Drosophila melanogaster: one gene and its partners. The protein of the gene in region 4 interacts with the protein of the main gene of each other region in a pairwise test. Each region holds a gene or a part of one and is shown on either strand. Other genes may lie near its edges. The genes, in order: CG15282, CG8292, Usf and CG16904.

Evidence for each region.
Region 1: the proteins of CG16904 (region 4) and CG15282 interact in a two-hybrid assay, tested with the Drosophila melanogaster proteins (one large-scale study listed by BioGRID).
Region 2: the proteins of CG16904 (region 4) and CG8292 interact in a two-hybrid assay, tested with the Drosophila melanogaster proteins (one large-scale study listed by BioGRID).
Region 3: the proteins of CG16904 (region 4) and Usf interact in a two-hybrid assay, tested with the Drosophila melanogaster proteins (one large-scale study listed by BioGRID).

What each region holds. Positions count from the first base shown.
Region 1 is NT_033779.5:14,710,525-14,713,652, reverse strand, and holds CG15282 (uncharacterized protein), read right to left. Parts: upstream 1,183-3,128; 5' UTR 1,067-1,182; intron 1,011-1,066; 5' UTR 912-1,010; coding exon 900-911; intron 829-899; coding exon 601-828; 3' UTR 535-600; downstream 1-534.
Region 2 is NT_033779.5:8,216,284-8,219,564, reverse strand, and holds CG8292 (uncharacterized protein), read left to right. Parts: upstream 1-1,547; 5' UTR 1,548-1,665; coding exon 1,666-1,878; intron 1,879-1,940; coding exon 1,941-2,591; 3' UTR 2,592-2,714; downstream 2,715-3,281. Other genes in the region: Snx6 (sorting nexin 6), read left to right, coding at 1-203, 267-449, 694-711, 886-995, 1,061-1,154; CG8349 (uncharacterized protein), read right to left, coding at 2,726-3,162, 3,222-3,281.
Region 3 is NC_004354.4:4,544,092-4,550,503, reverse strand, and holds Usf (Usf), read left to right. Parts: upstream 1-1,709; 5' UTR 1,710-2,075; coding exon 2,076-3,118; intron 3,119-3,679; coding exon 3,680-3,950; 3' UTR 3,951-5,887; downstream 5,888-6,412. Other genes in the region: CG11436 (uncharacterized protein), read left to right, coding at 1-94; CG15912 (uncharacterized protein), read right to left, coding at 690-1,430; CG3568 (uncharacterized protein), read right to left, coding at 6,100-6,270, 6,328-6,412.
Region 4 is NT_033777.3:9,815,387-9,818,518, forward strand, and holds CG16904 (uncharacterized protein), read right to left. Parts: upstream 1,594-3,132; 5' UTR 1,572-1,593; coding exon 1,356-1,571; intron 1,284-1,355; coding exon 711-1,283; 3' UTR 542-710; downstream 1-541. Other genes in the region: CG9459 (uncharacterized protein), read right to left, coding at 2,116-2,685, 2,753-2,980.

The DNA of each region.
Region 1 (3,128 bases), on a different chromosome or scaffold from region 4:
TCATTGTGAACGTTTGTGTTTATAGGGGATTTTTTCTGTTGTTGAAAACGTTCAAGTATCTGGGGTTGACGGGCCCACTAAAAATACAGGTTTGCAATCAGCTCTTCTTGGCGTATGCTCTTCGCTAATCAAATTAGGTTTTTTGTTAAATTATTGCTGTCAGAACATTTGGTTATTTCACAATTTTGCATGAGTCAGTATCTGCCTTTGGTTTTTATGCCAACATCATTTGCGAATTATTCAAGTGTTTGCAATTAATGTTGTTATAGCACAAAAATGTCATTAACCCATTAAGTGATTTTCGATTAGCTAAATAAAAACAATTTTTTATGTTGAAACACAAATTTTTAATTTAATTTAATAATTCATTTTTCTTGATGTTGCTTATGTCCAAAAAAATAAACCCAAACGTATTTATAAGCAAGCGAAATAAATGAAGGTTACTCATTAATAAAATCTCTGTCGATCTAAAGGCCTACAATAAGCCATTGTCAAAACATGTAAATGAGTATTTAAAAACAAAAACTGTTTTGTGTTTGTTATACTAATACGTTCAAATAATTTATTTTAATTTTTAGTCGAGGAACTAAAGTAACAGCCTTAGAAGAAGCCTCCTTGTTGCTGCTGCTGCTGCTGCTCGATTCCTCCAAATCCGCCGAATCCACCGAAGCTTTCCTGCTGCTGTTGCTGTTCTCCGAAGCCTCCGAAACCGCCGAATCCTTCTTGCTGCTGCTGTTGGCCACCGAATCCTCCGAATCCACCGAATCCTCCATATCCGAATTGAGGAAGCGCGGAAGCAACGGCGATAAGGGCCACAAAAACGATCACCTGAATGGCCGTTTATTATTTTTATAAAGTCCTTAATCCCTGCGAGGTGTAGCTCTGGTGGCCAAACTTACCAAGAATTTCATATTGAATTTGAAAATGAATTCAATTTGTACTAATATCCCAGAAGATGAGGATGCTTCGATGTTGCACTCGATACTGTGCCCTTTCTGTCACGTCTTTCTCTATTTATACGATTTTTTTGAATTCATATAATGTTTGAATTTCGGAGGTTCTTTACCCGCACTGAAATAAAAACTTGTCCCAGACACTGGACCAGACGTGGGGGCTTTCCTCACAGGTGACCAGCGTTTCTCTTCCAATCCGGTTTTGAATTTGTTGTGGTTATTGACCGGTTTCCATTTTTTTTTAGGGGAACAGGCGCCAGGTGCGTGGCTTTTGATATGAATTTTAATAGTTTGCCAATTTATATTTAAATAGTATTTTTACTGAATTTATGACTAAGCTATTCAGTTTCTAGAGGCACGTTTCCAAGAATCAATATATTGAACCCAAACTAGACGTTGTTGATGCTACTTGACGTTGTTGATGATGCCTTTGTTTCTGGGGTTCTCAAAACAAATTTGCTTCCTTACTCTAATGTTTACCATAGAATCACATTAATGTGTTACGTGTATATATAATTATTGAATCTTACTGAGCTGGACATTTGAACAAATCACCCCTTCCAATTGCCACATTTATATCCGGGCAAAAGTAAATGCAAATGAGCGTAAAAAAAACATATTTTTTTCAATTCGGTTACATTTCGTTGAGATAAACAAATTCCATTGACATAATCAAAAGAAACTTTGTTGTTTTCTTATTTCGTTGGCGTTCACTTCAAGAGCGGTCCAAACGAAGCGAACCAAGCTCACTCAATAGATAAGTGTCTCGATGGGGAATCACCTGCAGCGAATGGGGAATACTGGCGACCGGAGACCGGAGACCCTGGAAATTTTACCGTACCTCGACGAGGGTGAAGTGAAATTGCATTTGGTGTGCGGCGCCAGCGGCAATCGAGTTTGGCAATACGTGTTGCCTTTAACTTGGCTCTTAACCCTGCCATCCGAAAAGAGGGTGATGCGAAAGACTGCGACGACGAAGACGGTGCCTTTTGGCATACTTCAGTGGAGCGCATAAAACCCTAAATGAATTTATTTGGCTCATTTAAAGCAGCTAATTTATTTTTATTTCATCGAATTTGTGTTTAGTCGGGCACCACAAGTCCCTCTTCCCGGTTGGCAAGTAAGCTGTTTAGTGTGGGTACTAGTGACTTTATCCGTTTAATGTTCAAGTAACTTACAACGCAAACTCGCTCAACTTAACTTAAATCAAAGTAAACCCTCTACTTCAAATAAACCACCGCTTCAAAACTAATCATATAGCCGTTGCTTTTTGGAAATGTGCAGTAATTTTGGTAAAATGTCTAATGAACCCTTTTCGGGAGGCCTAGGCCCTTAAAATTGCAGAGCTCCGGGGAAAACACTCTGGGCCAACGTCTGCGTCGCGTGTCAAAGTTGCAACATTCAACATTCAACGCTCTTTGACTCCTTTGATGGTGGCCCAACACGACACCCAAAGCCGTGCACTGAAATTTGTTCAAATTCATTTCAATTACCGTCAATTTTCAATAATTTTGTTCAAATTATATTCCATTAGGTTCCATAAGTTCAAAAAAAAAACACTTTGCATAAACATAATTAGCCTTTTGCTTACAACGCAACATTTTTGGGACATTCTTTGCTCTTTTAAACTTTAATCGAGCTGAATTTATAATTAAATATTTGCGTCACCGATAGGTAAACAACAAACTGTTGACTACGTTAGTTTCTTGATTTACGTTAAGTTGGTATTGGCGAATGAAAGAAAGGTTAAATAAAATAGTAAAAAAAAAACATTTAAACTATTTAAGATACACATTCTTCGTTATATATAGTTCAGTAGTACCCTACGTTTCCAACCAAGCTGTTTTTTTTTTGATATAACTACGTTTAATTTTAAACTTTTGGCACTAGTAACTTGGCTTGACTTCTTTGGCACCCCCGTGCGACGCAATGTCTTAGGTTATTTGGGTGGCTAGCAATGCATTAGCCCAGTCAGAATGTTATGCCCCACCTGCAGGTGGGTGCAAATTCCTGGAGCTGAATATGTGGGGTGGCGTGTGGGTGGTTCCATTTCCATCCATATGAATTTCACATGCTTAAGCCGCAAACTTATGTGCGCGCACAGCTTGAAATCCAAGCTCACGTAAACTCAACTGGAAACTAAGCCCGAAAGAAATGGTATTCCGAAGAGGAAGA
Region 2 (3,281 bases), on a different chromosome or scaffold from region 4:
AGAACGAGCTGCAGTTCCTTACCGAGTACCACGGCCACTTGCGCGAGGCAGCACTCAGGACGGAGAAAATGACGCAACGCCACAAGGATGTAGGCGACTCGCATCAGAAGATTTCGAATGCGTTGACGCAGCTCTCGACTACGGAAAAGGGAAATGTGGAGACGTTTGTGGCCAAGACAGCGGAGATATTTGAAAGGATCAAGGTGCGCTACGCTGCGTTTTCGCTATAATTATATTTTATAAATTTTCCTCTTGATATTTTAAAGAATCTGGAAACCCGAGTGGCTAGCGATCAAGATCTCAAGCTGGGCGACACTCTGCGCTACTATCAGCGGGATAGCGACGCTGCCAAAGCTCTACTTATCCGGCGACTGCGGTGTTTGGCTGCTTATGAAGCGGCCAATCGAAACCTGGAGAAGGCTCGCTCCAAAAACAAGGATGTTCATGCGGTAAGATTGAGGGATGATCACAACTAGTTCTTCCAGAACTATGTTTCAGATCGTTTAAAGAGCAATTGTTTTCCCTACAAAAAGTTTCCAGCGGGTCAATTAATTCTCACGCTTCACTAATTACAAATAACAAATTATTTGCGTTCTTGTATTTTATTGCTACCGTACACAACCTCACAACTCTCTGATCTGCCTGTCCCTCCCTCTTCACTTTTTGTGCGTGTTTGTGGTTCTGTTTCTGCAGCCGTTGGAGGTGCAAGAGGTATTTGGCATTTAACGTTTTAACCGTCGGTTTAGTAGATGTGTCGCCACCCCACGTAAATGCTGCATGCGCTCCACCGTTGCTCAATCTGTTGTATTCACTTTAGCATGCCCTTGCTGTGGCCCACTTGTTGTGTTCCCTGTATATAATCGTTTTTGTTTATCCTCCAATTAGGCCGAGACTGCCCAGGCGGAGGCCTGTGAAAAATTCGAATCTATGTCTGCATGTGGAAAGGAGGAGTTGATCGGTTTCCGCAACCGACGGGTAGCTGCTTTCAAGAAGAGGTGAGTCAGCAGCTGCTAAACATTTTGCTATGCTCTGCATTTTATTATCGCTTTTCTAAACACAGCCTCGTCGAGCTCTCAGAGCTGGAGATCAAGCATGCCAAGACGCAGTATGAATATCTGCGCCAATCACTGCTAGCGCTCAAAGAGATTGCCTGAGACGGGGAGCCGGAAGTAGACAAGGAATAGAAGGATGAGTCACCCGCACATTGTTTACACACCCCATTGAAACGCAAGCCTCATCGATTACACACATCCGGGAGACGAAGTAAATCAATTGTTTAATTGCTAAGCAAACAGTTTATTATTGCACAGGCCAAATCGAGTGCAACATTATTATCTTAGCCCACGTATTATATTAACGAATATTCATTTGTTTTGTGAACAGAGCGCTTTTATATTTGTCAAACAAGCATTCCTCTCTACAGCATAAACTACAACTACATATATTGTAAACACTTGCATTTGAAGCAGAATATAAACGAGAAATATTGTACAGAAGGCTGGCTGTTTGTGAGCAGTCAGTATACTAGCATTGTTTGGAGTCTATTCGGTAACTGGGCAACATCAAGGGTTTCCAAATTAAGCGTCTCAAGGGGTGCACATTTCCATTGTCGCTGAAAATTGTGTTTGTTGTCAGTGTTAGATAGATTTTCAAAGTCCATAAGCCATGGATGAGTTCGGCGTCTTCGATTACAAGCGCCCTGCCAGCGCTACAGATCCCGATTGGAGGACCTCGTACTATCGAGGGCATCGCCACATTACAGACTTGAGAATGGGTAACAAGCTGAACGCCAAGTTTACGGATAAGGGTATTTATGTAAAAGATCCGCTGCTGTCCGAGAAGCCGACTTCTGAGTGCATGGCCAACTATGTGTGGCAGGTGAGTTGATTGATATGCTGAGATATGTTGCACCAAACTAAAACGTGACCATGATGTTCCAGTATAACGATCCCAACGCACTTAGAAATCCCTCGCTCAACATGAAAACACAGTATATGAAACCATTTGAGGAGGGTTCCCTTCGCTTTGTAAAGCGAAAGATGAAGCCCATTTCTAGTGTCAGTCATGAGTCGTATGTACTTAAGGAGCTGCCGGAGGAACAGGAAATATTGCCTGTAACAATGCCCACTCCGGTGGTAGCCACCAAGCTAGTCATCGACCGTTCGGAGGCGTCCTTTAGCAAGTACCTTGATCCCTCCTCCACCACATACAATCTGTCGTATGTGCGCTGGGGTCCCGAGGACTTGTGTGGCGGAGTAGCTGCCCACGACAATATTACATACTGGAATTGGACGGAGAAGATGCCGCCCATCCAGAAAGTGTCCCGCGAAGAGGATCCTACAATGTGTGACGAGGGTAATACGCATAATTGCCCAAAGCGACGCTGTGAGTTTCAAAACCTCACCAAACGAGTGCCGCATTCGGGAATGGTCACCGAGGTGCGCGCTAATTTCACGGATCCACAATTTCGAAGGGTTGAATTCGATCCAGAAGTTAAGCCCATACTCGTGCACGAGGAAGTCACTCCGTTTGCGGAGAAAAGCGAATACGGCATCTACGGATCGGGAGAACCAGTTATCAAATACGTTTAGTTCTCTACACATTGTTTTGACTTTTTGTCAAGTTAATCAGATCGCTAACTTAAATTATTTGCAATACTTATTGACATTAGAACGAATAATTTTATTGCATTAAATAAATTCTGGATATTATTTAGATGAAAATTTCATTCAAATGAGTTAAAGCTGTGGGGAAGCAGATGGTAGGCGGACGTGACCAGCACTTCAGCTTCGTCCGGAATTGAAGGAATGCAGTTCTCTTGCTCCGGCGGCGGAGCCTTGGCAATGTAGATAGGAATATCATTTTGGATGAACTCCAAAATGAACTGCCGGCAGACTCCGCAAGGTGTGGTAAACCCATCTGGGTGATAGGCTACCACAGCACCCGCCGTATACTTCTTCTCGCCCTCGCTGATACCCTTGGCCAGGGCACAACGCTCCGCACAATTGCCTGGAGTGAAAGCTACGTTCTCGATGTTGCAGCCCGCGTAGATCCTGCCGCACTTCGCACGGAAGGCTGCTCCCACTTTGAATTTGCTGTAGGGCGCATAGGCACATCGACGGGCAGAAAGAGCCGCCTCTAGCAGCTCCCGGCCATCCTCACCTGGAGATTACGGTTTGATTACCAATGGCAGAGGATTCACCATTATAGCCAAGCCTTACCAACAGCACAGAACGCTACTGTGTACTCCTCCAACATCTGTGGATGTGGCAGGTTTTCGG
Region 3 (6,412 bases), on a different chromosome or scaffold from region 4:
CCAGGTGTCCACCGAAATCCGGAAACAGTTCAATTTGGAGCAGCTTAAGGCGGCCAAGGCCCAAATGCCTGCGAAGGCGACAAAGGCTACATAGTAATGATTGCCATTACAAACAGATGGACTGGCACATTCCCTTCACAAAGCAACCAAATATTTTTGGTCACAAAATAGCTTGTACGATTAATCTGTTCTTAATTAGTATTTAGGTATGTGTGCAAGAGACGTGTGCGAGTGTGTGTGTGTGTGTGTATAGGATAAGTTTTCAGGTATAGTTTTATCAGGCTTTATACACGGAAATGTTCGAAAGGAGGAGGTTCTTTCGATGCATAATACAGCATCGTTATGTCACTTTAATTAATAATATCTTTTAATGAATATTTAAACAACGACTTTTTCACATTCGATAAGAAATAAGCTTTGAATTGTATTCAACTAAGAACTCTTTTGTTTATTTCTGTTTTCAGACAGCTTATTTTTATATTTGTTATATTATGTTTTATATTTGTCCAAAACCTCCTACCTCGAATTTCCCAAAAAAATATCATTAAGATCGCGTATTTATATTTACCACTAGTTTTACATTCAGTTATGTTATCTTAATGCAAAAAAAAAAGGAAATCTACAAAAATAACAACAGCCATTATCCAATCGAAGAACTGCAGGTTCCCGAGAGGAGTTTCTTTGGTGGATTACCATCGGATTGGTTGGGTTTTTAAGGCCTCCAACAGACTGGAAAGACTGGCAAAAGAATGGGGATTGTCAGCGTTGCTCACAAGCAAACCGCTCCAGCCGCAATTCCGGGCACCTTCATAGTCCATATCCAACTTGTTGCCAATGTGAAGGGCCTGCTCCGCTGGAATTTGCAATCTCTGCAGCGGAATTTCGAAGATACCGCGTTCGGGCTTCATAACACCGGCTTCGTAGGAAGTCAGAATGAAATCGAATTTGCCGGCAAAGCCCATGGCGTCCAGGACTTGTGGCAGTGACGAATCGAAATTGGAGATGATGCCCACACATTTGCCGGCATTTCGGACGTTCTGCACCAACTCCTGGGCACCATTCACGTGACTCCAACAGGCGCTGGTCCGAAAAACGGAAATTAGCCGCTGGCCGATCTTCTCCAGCTTCTCGGGCGCCAGACCGTGGTCCACGCAGCTAAAGGTTCGAGCCACCAGCTGAAGCCACCAACGCTGCCAATCCAATCCCGGCGAGTAACGGCCAAAGTTTGGATGTTCGCTGCTCATCGCCTTGAATTGCTGGCGAAAGCATTGTTCCAATCGGCGGCGATCCACTCCGGTGACCCCGAACTCCTCTGCCGTCTGATGGTACTGGCGAAGGGGATCCTCCAGGCGAAGCAGCGTGTCCGTTACATCGAAGGTCACCAGGCGAAAGCGTTTCAAATTCGCAACAAATTGCGAAGTCAACGACATTTTGGCCAACAGTGTGGTATTGTTTGTCCACTAGATATTACGTATATGCATTTGGTATATTTTAATTTTCGAAAAACCTCCAAAAACACATTTGCTTAGTTGAGAATCGTTTATTGAATTAAATGAAGATGCTTTTCTTCATTTTAAAGTTACAGATTTTCTACTTGTATGAAGAGTTTATTTTTTTTTTTGAATACAAACAATTATTTGGAAATGCCGCAAAAATACATTGCCTAAATTCTGGTATTTTTCGCAACAACTGTACTGTGTGTATTTGTCGGCATATATTTGCTGCCCGCCGGCGGGCACACTAAGCCAAACGAAAATAATTTTGTTACAAAAAAAATCAACAAATCGTATTGTTAAATGGCCGTGCGAACACGAACGACCATAAATCCGCCGCAGCGCTCGATTTCAAATCAAATCCTCGAGGCAGTCGGTAGTTAATAATACCGCAGAGCGGCCAGATCGGGGGATATCTACCATCCATATCCGTGTATCCTCCAACTAGAGATCGGAGCAAATAGTGGAGGAGATCCCGAATAGATCCGGAGTTACGTGATTCCCGGCGACACGGATACGATTCTGGCTGGGATTGGGCTATTGGAATTGGTGTACTGCTAACGGCGGATCATCGATGCAACAATGAATGTTCACAAGCGGCCACGTCTGAATATGGAATTCGGCTCCTCCACCAGCAATACCAACACTTCCACATCCCCGTCCTCCGTAAATATCAGCAATGCGAATCCAACAGCTGGACCTGGCCTCATGACCATTACCAATCACCACACCGCTGATTTGTCAGAGGCCCTGGTCCACAGTTCCTTTGCCAATGGTCAGCAAAGTCTGATTCTCACCAGCGACACGGGAAATCCGCTGATGAATAGCCAAGGTGCTCAGATATTTCTCACCATTTGCGGAGACGAGAACTCGGACGATTCGCAGGAGTACTATACGATTAAACAGGAACCGGGATGTGATCTAGATATCCATTCGCTGCTGCCTAGCAATTTGCAGCTGCCCAACAATCTGCAGCTGCCCACTGGCTGTGAGATATATTTGGTCAAGGAAACCGGCAGCTTAATGGGTGAGCCGCCGACGAAGGCGGCCATCAAGCTGGAACTAGATACGCTAAGCGAAAAGCCGCTCCTTCCATCTGTTACAACTTCCTCCAGCACACAGTCCGCGGTAATAACCGCCCAGACCGTGAATCCTCCCATTCCAGGTAACATCAACACCACCACCAGCACCACTAGCACCACCACCACCACCAGTGTCCTGTATGGCTCCCATGGCAATGGTCATGGCCATGGCCATGCTCACGCCCAAGCCCGATCCCAGCCAGAATCAGCTGGCCAAACACCATCCAGCAAACTGGAGGCGTACAAGAAACGCGATGATAAACGTCGTGCCACGCACAACGAGGTCGAACGCCGGCGCCGCGACAAGATCAACAGCTGGATCTTCAAGCTCAAGGAGATGCTGCCCAGTCTGAGCTCCAGCTCCAGTTTCAGCGAGGCCAGCACGAGTCCCAGCACCAGCGGAAGTACGAGTACCAACGGAAGTAGCCATTCCAAAGGCAATGCCAGCAGTTCCAGCGGACGAGCGCCGCCCAATGACTCCAAATCGCAGATCCTGATCAAGGCATGCGAGTACATCAAGAGCATGCAGGGCGAGATTGACACGTGAGTGGAGACGGGTTTGTAGGGGGGAAACCACTGAATCAGAAATCCACAAATATTGTCCGCTATAAGTTGCTGTACTACAGTTATATATACAGCTATATAACTTTTTTGACTTGTTAATGGTCTTAAAAAATGAGTTTGCTTATAGATCTTAATCAACTCCATTCGCTCAATTGAGCTTACATCATGTATCGATCGCATACGGTTAGGAATAAAGTTACCCAAAGGGCGGACACTTGATCTTTCCCACTTTTTCCGTAGAAATGCGTACTTAAAGTGCTGATATAGGGCTGGTGTTATCTTTTTGCAAAACAAAATCCCCATTTTGGAGCGGTTCTTTTTCGCCACTATCTCGTGCAATATGAGCTGGACTCTCGAATGTCCCTGTGTCACTCAAGTCTTGAACACAACACTCTCTCACACTGATCGAATGCGGTTTCCACCCAAACAAAACCCAACAAAATCATACAAAGCCAATCAAACACCTGATCCACCGATTCACCGATCACCAAACATAAACAAACCAATTACTCAACTTTGTCTATCCCCACCAATAAACAGGCTGCGCGACTGTCTAAGGGAGACGGATAGCCTAAGGGCCAGCAACCAGGCGCTGCGCGAGGAACTTGATCGCCTGAAGCGTCAGCAGCAGCTCCAGGAACGCTTCCACACGGCCGGCGGAAGATCGACGTTTAATGTTACCCTAAATTCGCTGAACAGTTCCGCGACCAGTGATCTATTCGAGGGAATCGATACGACACCCAATCTGGCCGCCGTCTCGTCGCTGGGATTCGGCAAGCGTGGCCTGCTGATCAGCGATTTTGATGAGTAAACAAAATCTGCCTGCGAAATAGGAGTGGATAGACAAAAAAAAAAAAAAAAAAAATAGAAATGAAAAACATATGGGTGGACCGATTGGGTTGCTGGTTACGGGAATAAACAAATATGGAGGCGGCGGATGGACAAGCCCTGGCGCCTTCAACAAACATATACGCCCATCCACCAAAGAATGACGTGCAACGTACACGCAACGCAACACACGCAGTACAATAAACGGACATGACGAGTGATTCCTTGTTATCGCCGCTCTGTTATATGTTATATAAGAAAAGCAGCATATATTACATATGTGTATCGATATGTGTATATGGTTATGTATATGGCTATGTATATGCATGTACATATATGCAGTCGAACTTGGGTGACTCAAGCCAAGTTGTTGGCCTAACCGCTTTGACAAAAAGCTGTTCTCAATTGAGTTTAATTAACGAGCCACGGCACAACACAGCTGCTTTTGTATGTTATATGTATCTGTTATTGGTATTATTCCTAACCAACCCCCCCCTCCAAAAAGTGAGCGCCCAAAAAGAAAAAAAACAAATCATGAAAATAACGATCGAACGAATTTTTGTACCACCCCCATGCCGCGATCATTATCATATTTTGTTTAGAGTCTTGGAATATTAGATCACAAACAAATATTGTTGATAAGAAGCTTTAAAGCACGTTCTGTTCTTCCATGTTTTTTTTTTTCGTATTACATTATGTTTAAGATATACGTAGGTATAGTTGTTTTGATTTGCGCAGCGAATCTAGAACTATAACTTAGCCATGTTTCAAACAAACTCTTTGTGTTCATTCAAGAGAATTCACTATGTATTCACTTTCAACAAGAGATTGTTGTATTTAAATCGAAATATGTTTTTCAAAAATATCAATATTGAAATATTAGCAAAGTACAGCGCAAGATAAGTATAAGTATAAGTAATTTCTTGCTGAAAGTGAAAGTGGAAACTGAAGTGGTTAACAAAGTTTTCGATTTGTTGTTATACAGGAAATTAGTTGTAAGTCTGAAGTTTGAGTAACAAAAGTTCGATTGCACAGATGTGAAATGATTTATGTTCTCGGATCCTCAAGCGGTTTGCCATCATTATATACAAACGTACATACATACCTATGAATTACCCAGAAATACAAGCCTAGAAAAAATCTAAAAGCGTTAACGATACCTACCTATTGCATATATACCTTTAACTAAATCATATTTGGAGCATGTTTGTGCTTGATTTTTCGATTTTATTGTACTGTTTCTCGGCACTAATTACCTACAAAAAAAAAAAAAATGTAACGAAAATATACTATATCTAGTTATATCGTATATATATTATATATATATATAAATATATATGGTCTATATATATATATAGAGAGAGAGAGAGAGAAAGAGCGAGAGGCAAGTGTACATACGTAGTGCAGTCGGTAGAACAGTGGGAATTCGAGCGAGATGCGGCTATATAATGCCGCACTGCTCGCCGGGGGCGTGTGCACCGTTACAGATAAAATGCTATTGTTGATAAAGAATAATATTATATTATATTATATTTGAGCATAATGTTGTTGTGAATGTTATATCACTGTTTTCGATATACGACGCTGTTTCAGAAGTATAAGTATACAGAACAGAAGTGTTTTAAATACGATTCATTTGTAATAATGAAAATGCCAAAAAAAAAAGCAAAAAAAAAAAAAAAGAAATCAAACACACCAACCACACCAAAATACAAACACACTAAGATTCAGGATTTTAAGATATAAGATGGGGTACTGGGAATTGGATTATTTAACCCATGGCCGAAAACGAAATGGGATCTTGTGTTACTTGTTGCTATCTATATGCAGTACATTACAATAATATCACATTTCTGTCATTTGACAGCTAATAATTCTATTCAATTTCAATAAACGAACTCAGTAATGGTTAACACACACAATCAATTTCTCATTCAATGGAATTGTTGGCATGCGGGCATTGATTCTTTAGAAGAATATGGTGGTTTGTTCGCACAGCTGGCTTTCCATGATTCCATAAGTTCATATGTTCATATGTACATATGTACATATGTACATATGTATCAGCAAAAAAGCTGATCTCTTTATTGTAATATATTTTAAGGATTACATAGTGCTTAGATACATTGTGTTTACACAATCAGTCGCCTAGCGTAGTCGCCTACATGGAGTAGTCCGTGTTCCACTGATGCAATGTGCAGATTGGCTCCGTTCATATAGTGCACATTAATGTGGGGATTTTGGAGTTCAGAGATTAAAGTGGAACAGGCTGCTGCTGGATCCCCAGTGCTGATTAGCATATTCTGTAGGGAAATAAGCATTACAAATTGTAAACCTTAGTAGAGTCACTTCTTGCATACCGCCCAAAATTCGTTGCCAGGCAGGGCATTTCCATCCCAGGCGTATGTCACCACGGGCAACATGTCCTCCGTTAGTTTGTCTCCG
Region 4 (3,132 bases):
GAAGGACCCGAAAAGCTAGTGCCCAACCAGGAACCACTGCACTTGACTGCGGCTTCGCTTTAATGTTGCCGCATGGCCGCAATTATTCAGCTGGCACTTTGACTCTGATTCGCCGCATGCGATTCCTATGCAAATTCGGCCGGCCACGGGTGACCCTTCCGGTGCCATAAATCGCCGGTGCTGGGCCAGGCTCGTTCCTAATATTCTAATTAAATGCAGCATGGAATGTCCAGAGACGTGCTCGGTCCAAGTTCTGCGGAGCATGCAGATCACGTGCCAAGGGGAATCCCCTCGATTCGACGATGGAAACCACGAGTAGTCGAGATGTGGCCGATGGGATTTATTCCGGACGGAGTCTAACTCCTTGACCTTTTCGACTGCATTTGAATTAACTGTCGATGCATTTGAATTCATCTATTATTCAAACGGCGCATATGCAAATTGTCGAGTACACTCAGAGAAACCAATGATGTATCACTTTATAATTCAAATTTAATTTAAGAAGCCAATGTATTGTAAAAGTAATAATAAAATATTTGTTGATTACAAATACATTCTTATTAAATAATACAAAAAAAAAACAGGATCAAAGGTGGGAATTTTATAACAAAAATTGTATGAAAGTTGGAAAGACACTCTTCATTCCTATGCACCCCAATAGTTATGTACATACGAATTACCAGTTTTTGATCACAGTGTAGCAGGTGCATTCAGTTGACCTTGCCCTTGGACTTGACCTCTTTCGGCCGAATGTAGGTCTTTATGTAGAACTTGGTGAACATCAGAAACATGAAGGCGCTGGCCGAACTTATGACATAGATGACACCCCGCGACGCCGAGCAGTTTGGCTGGAAATAGGTGTACATGCAGTGCAGGAACATCAGGAGGAACTGCACCAGCTGGCCCAGGGTAAGGTACTTCTTCCACCAGAGGCTCTCCTGCACATTCTGGCTCTGCGACGAGGCGTAGTAGTAGCCGTACATGACGATGTGCACCAGAACATTGAACATGCAGATCAGGAAGACATGGCCACCAAAACCGTAGAATCGGATCAGCATGTGCGAGGTGAAGACCATGAAGACGTGATGGAACACATGGAGGAACGTGATCTGGCGCTGCTTCTTGCGCAGCACAAAGAATATGGTGTCCATCAGGTCGAGCACCTTGTTCAGATGGTACATGTACGACAGTGTCCTTTCCGTGGACTTTAGCTCATGATCCTGCGGCAGGACTTGCATGCAGCTCAGGTTGTACGGCTTCTGCACGAATAACAGATGGATGCCCTGGGTAATATGGAGCAATCCATTGAAAACGATTAAAAAACTGTGTATATCGATATCCTTCGACTTACGTACCCACACAAAAATCACCGAATTGAACAGGACTTGTCCGATGTTGTAGAACTTGAGCACACCTCGCAGCTGGAGTGCCTCATGCTTGTCCATCAGCTTCCTGCCCAGCTTGAGCACAAACAATAGATACACCGTGATGATGATCACCGAGGTGCGGATACTGCCCGCCAGCGGCAGCTGGACAGGATCGGCGAAGGGCTTATCGAACACCTCGAACATTTTCGCGCACGACTTAACGAGTGACTTGACTTTTACCTTCTGTGATTTCTTTCTTTCACGATAGCCACTATACTATTACCTATTTGCTAATTACATTAGTGCAAATTTCCGGTATGTTTAACCCACTATCAACCTTCAACTTGAATACTTAAAGCTTTGCAAATCGAACTAAATACAATATAAGTAACAGTTCAACTACGTTTTTATTTTCAACATTTTATTAATCAGCAGTGCCATTATTTACAAAATTACTCCTTTTGACATTATTGTCAATACAACAAAAAAAGTGTTCTACATTTATAAAATACTGGCGAGACCCAATTAAAGGGGTATTTTGCATATTTAATAGCATTAAGCAGTCGAGTGGATAGAGAGTTCTAGAAACCAACAAATATCTCCCATTGCTTTATGTAAAATATATATCTATGTATAATATACGATATATACAATGATATAAAACAAATGAATTTGTTGTATCAAAAGCATTTATTAATGACATTGATTAATGTAAGGAACAGTGATATTAAATCTTAATTAGTTTTGCTCATCGGCCCACCGCCGATTTCGTTTTCTTGGGAAGAATGTAGGTGCGAACGTAGAAGTTACTAAATAGAATTATAAATACTACAGATATCAGTGAGCCCCAAGTTGCCGATAATCGTGATGTTTGACAATCAGTTTGCCGGAGGATATAGACGCTGTGCGAGAATATAATAACAAATTGGACAAGCTGAACGACTGTGATGTATTTCTTCCACCAGAGATCGCCACCCGAGTTCCGATTGAGGGACGACTGGTAGTAGTAGGTGTACATCATGGTGTGCACCACCACGTTGAAGGTGATCAAGAAGAATCCATGGCCGCCGTATCCATAATAATACATGTACAAGAAGCCTATGTACACCATGTATACGTGGTGGAAAACGTGCAGGAACGATATCTGGCGATACTTCTTTCTGAATATAAAGAACACAGTCTCCAGCAGATCCATGAGCTTGTTGAAGAAGTAGGAGTAACTGAGCCAACGCTCCCAGTTCTTGTACTCATGATCCAACGGCAGATTGGATATGCAACTGAAGTTATAGTTGCCAGGACCAAGCATGAAGTGCACACTCTTTAAATTTGGAGATACATATAATGAATATTAATATATTTTTGTTAAAAAAAAGAGCATTACTTACAAATATTAACAAAATGACATTGTATGCGATTTGCACGATGTTGTAGATCTTGATAGCTCTATCCAGATTGTAGGGCTTTTGATTCTGCATAAACCAAGGACCCACTATTTTTATGAAGACTAGATAGATTCCAAGGATGGTCAACACCGGCCAGTGGCTGCTGGTCAACGGAAGACGCACAGGATCCGGTGGCGATCGATTCAGGAAGTCCAGCATATGGGCAAACATGTCGGATATCTAAGTGTTATCGACGTCGGTGGAATAGCGACTGATGTGGACTCCGGCCGAGAACCGAGAAATGGTAATCTGCTCGTTTTCGAGGCTGATTTAAGTGTGTGTTTCTATTATACAAATACCTACATACGTAAGTAAAACCTATT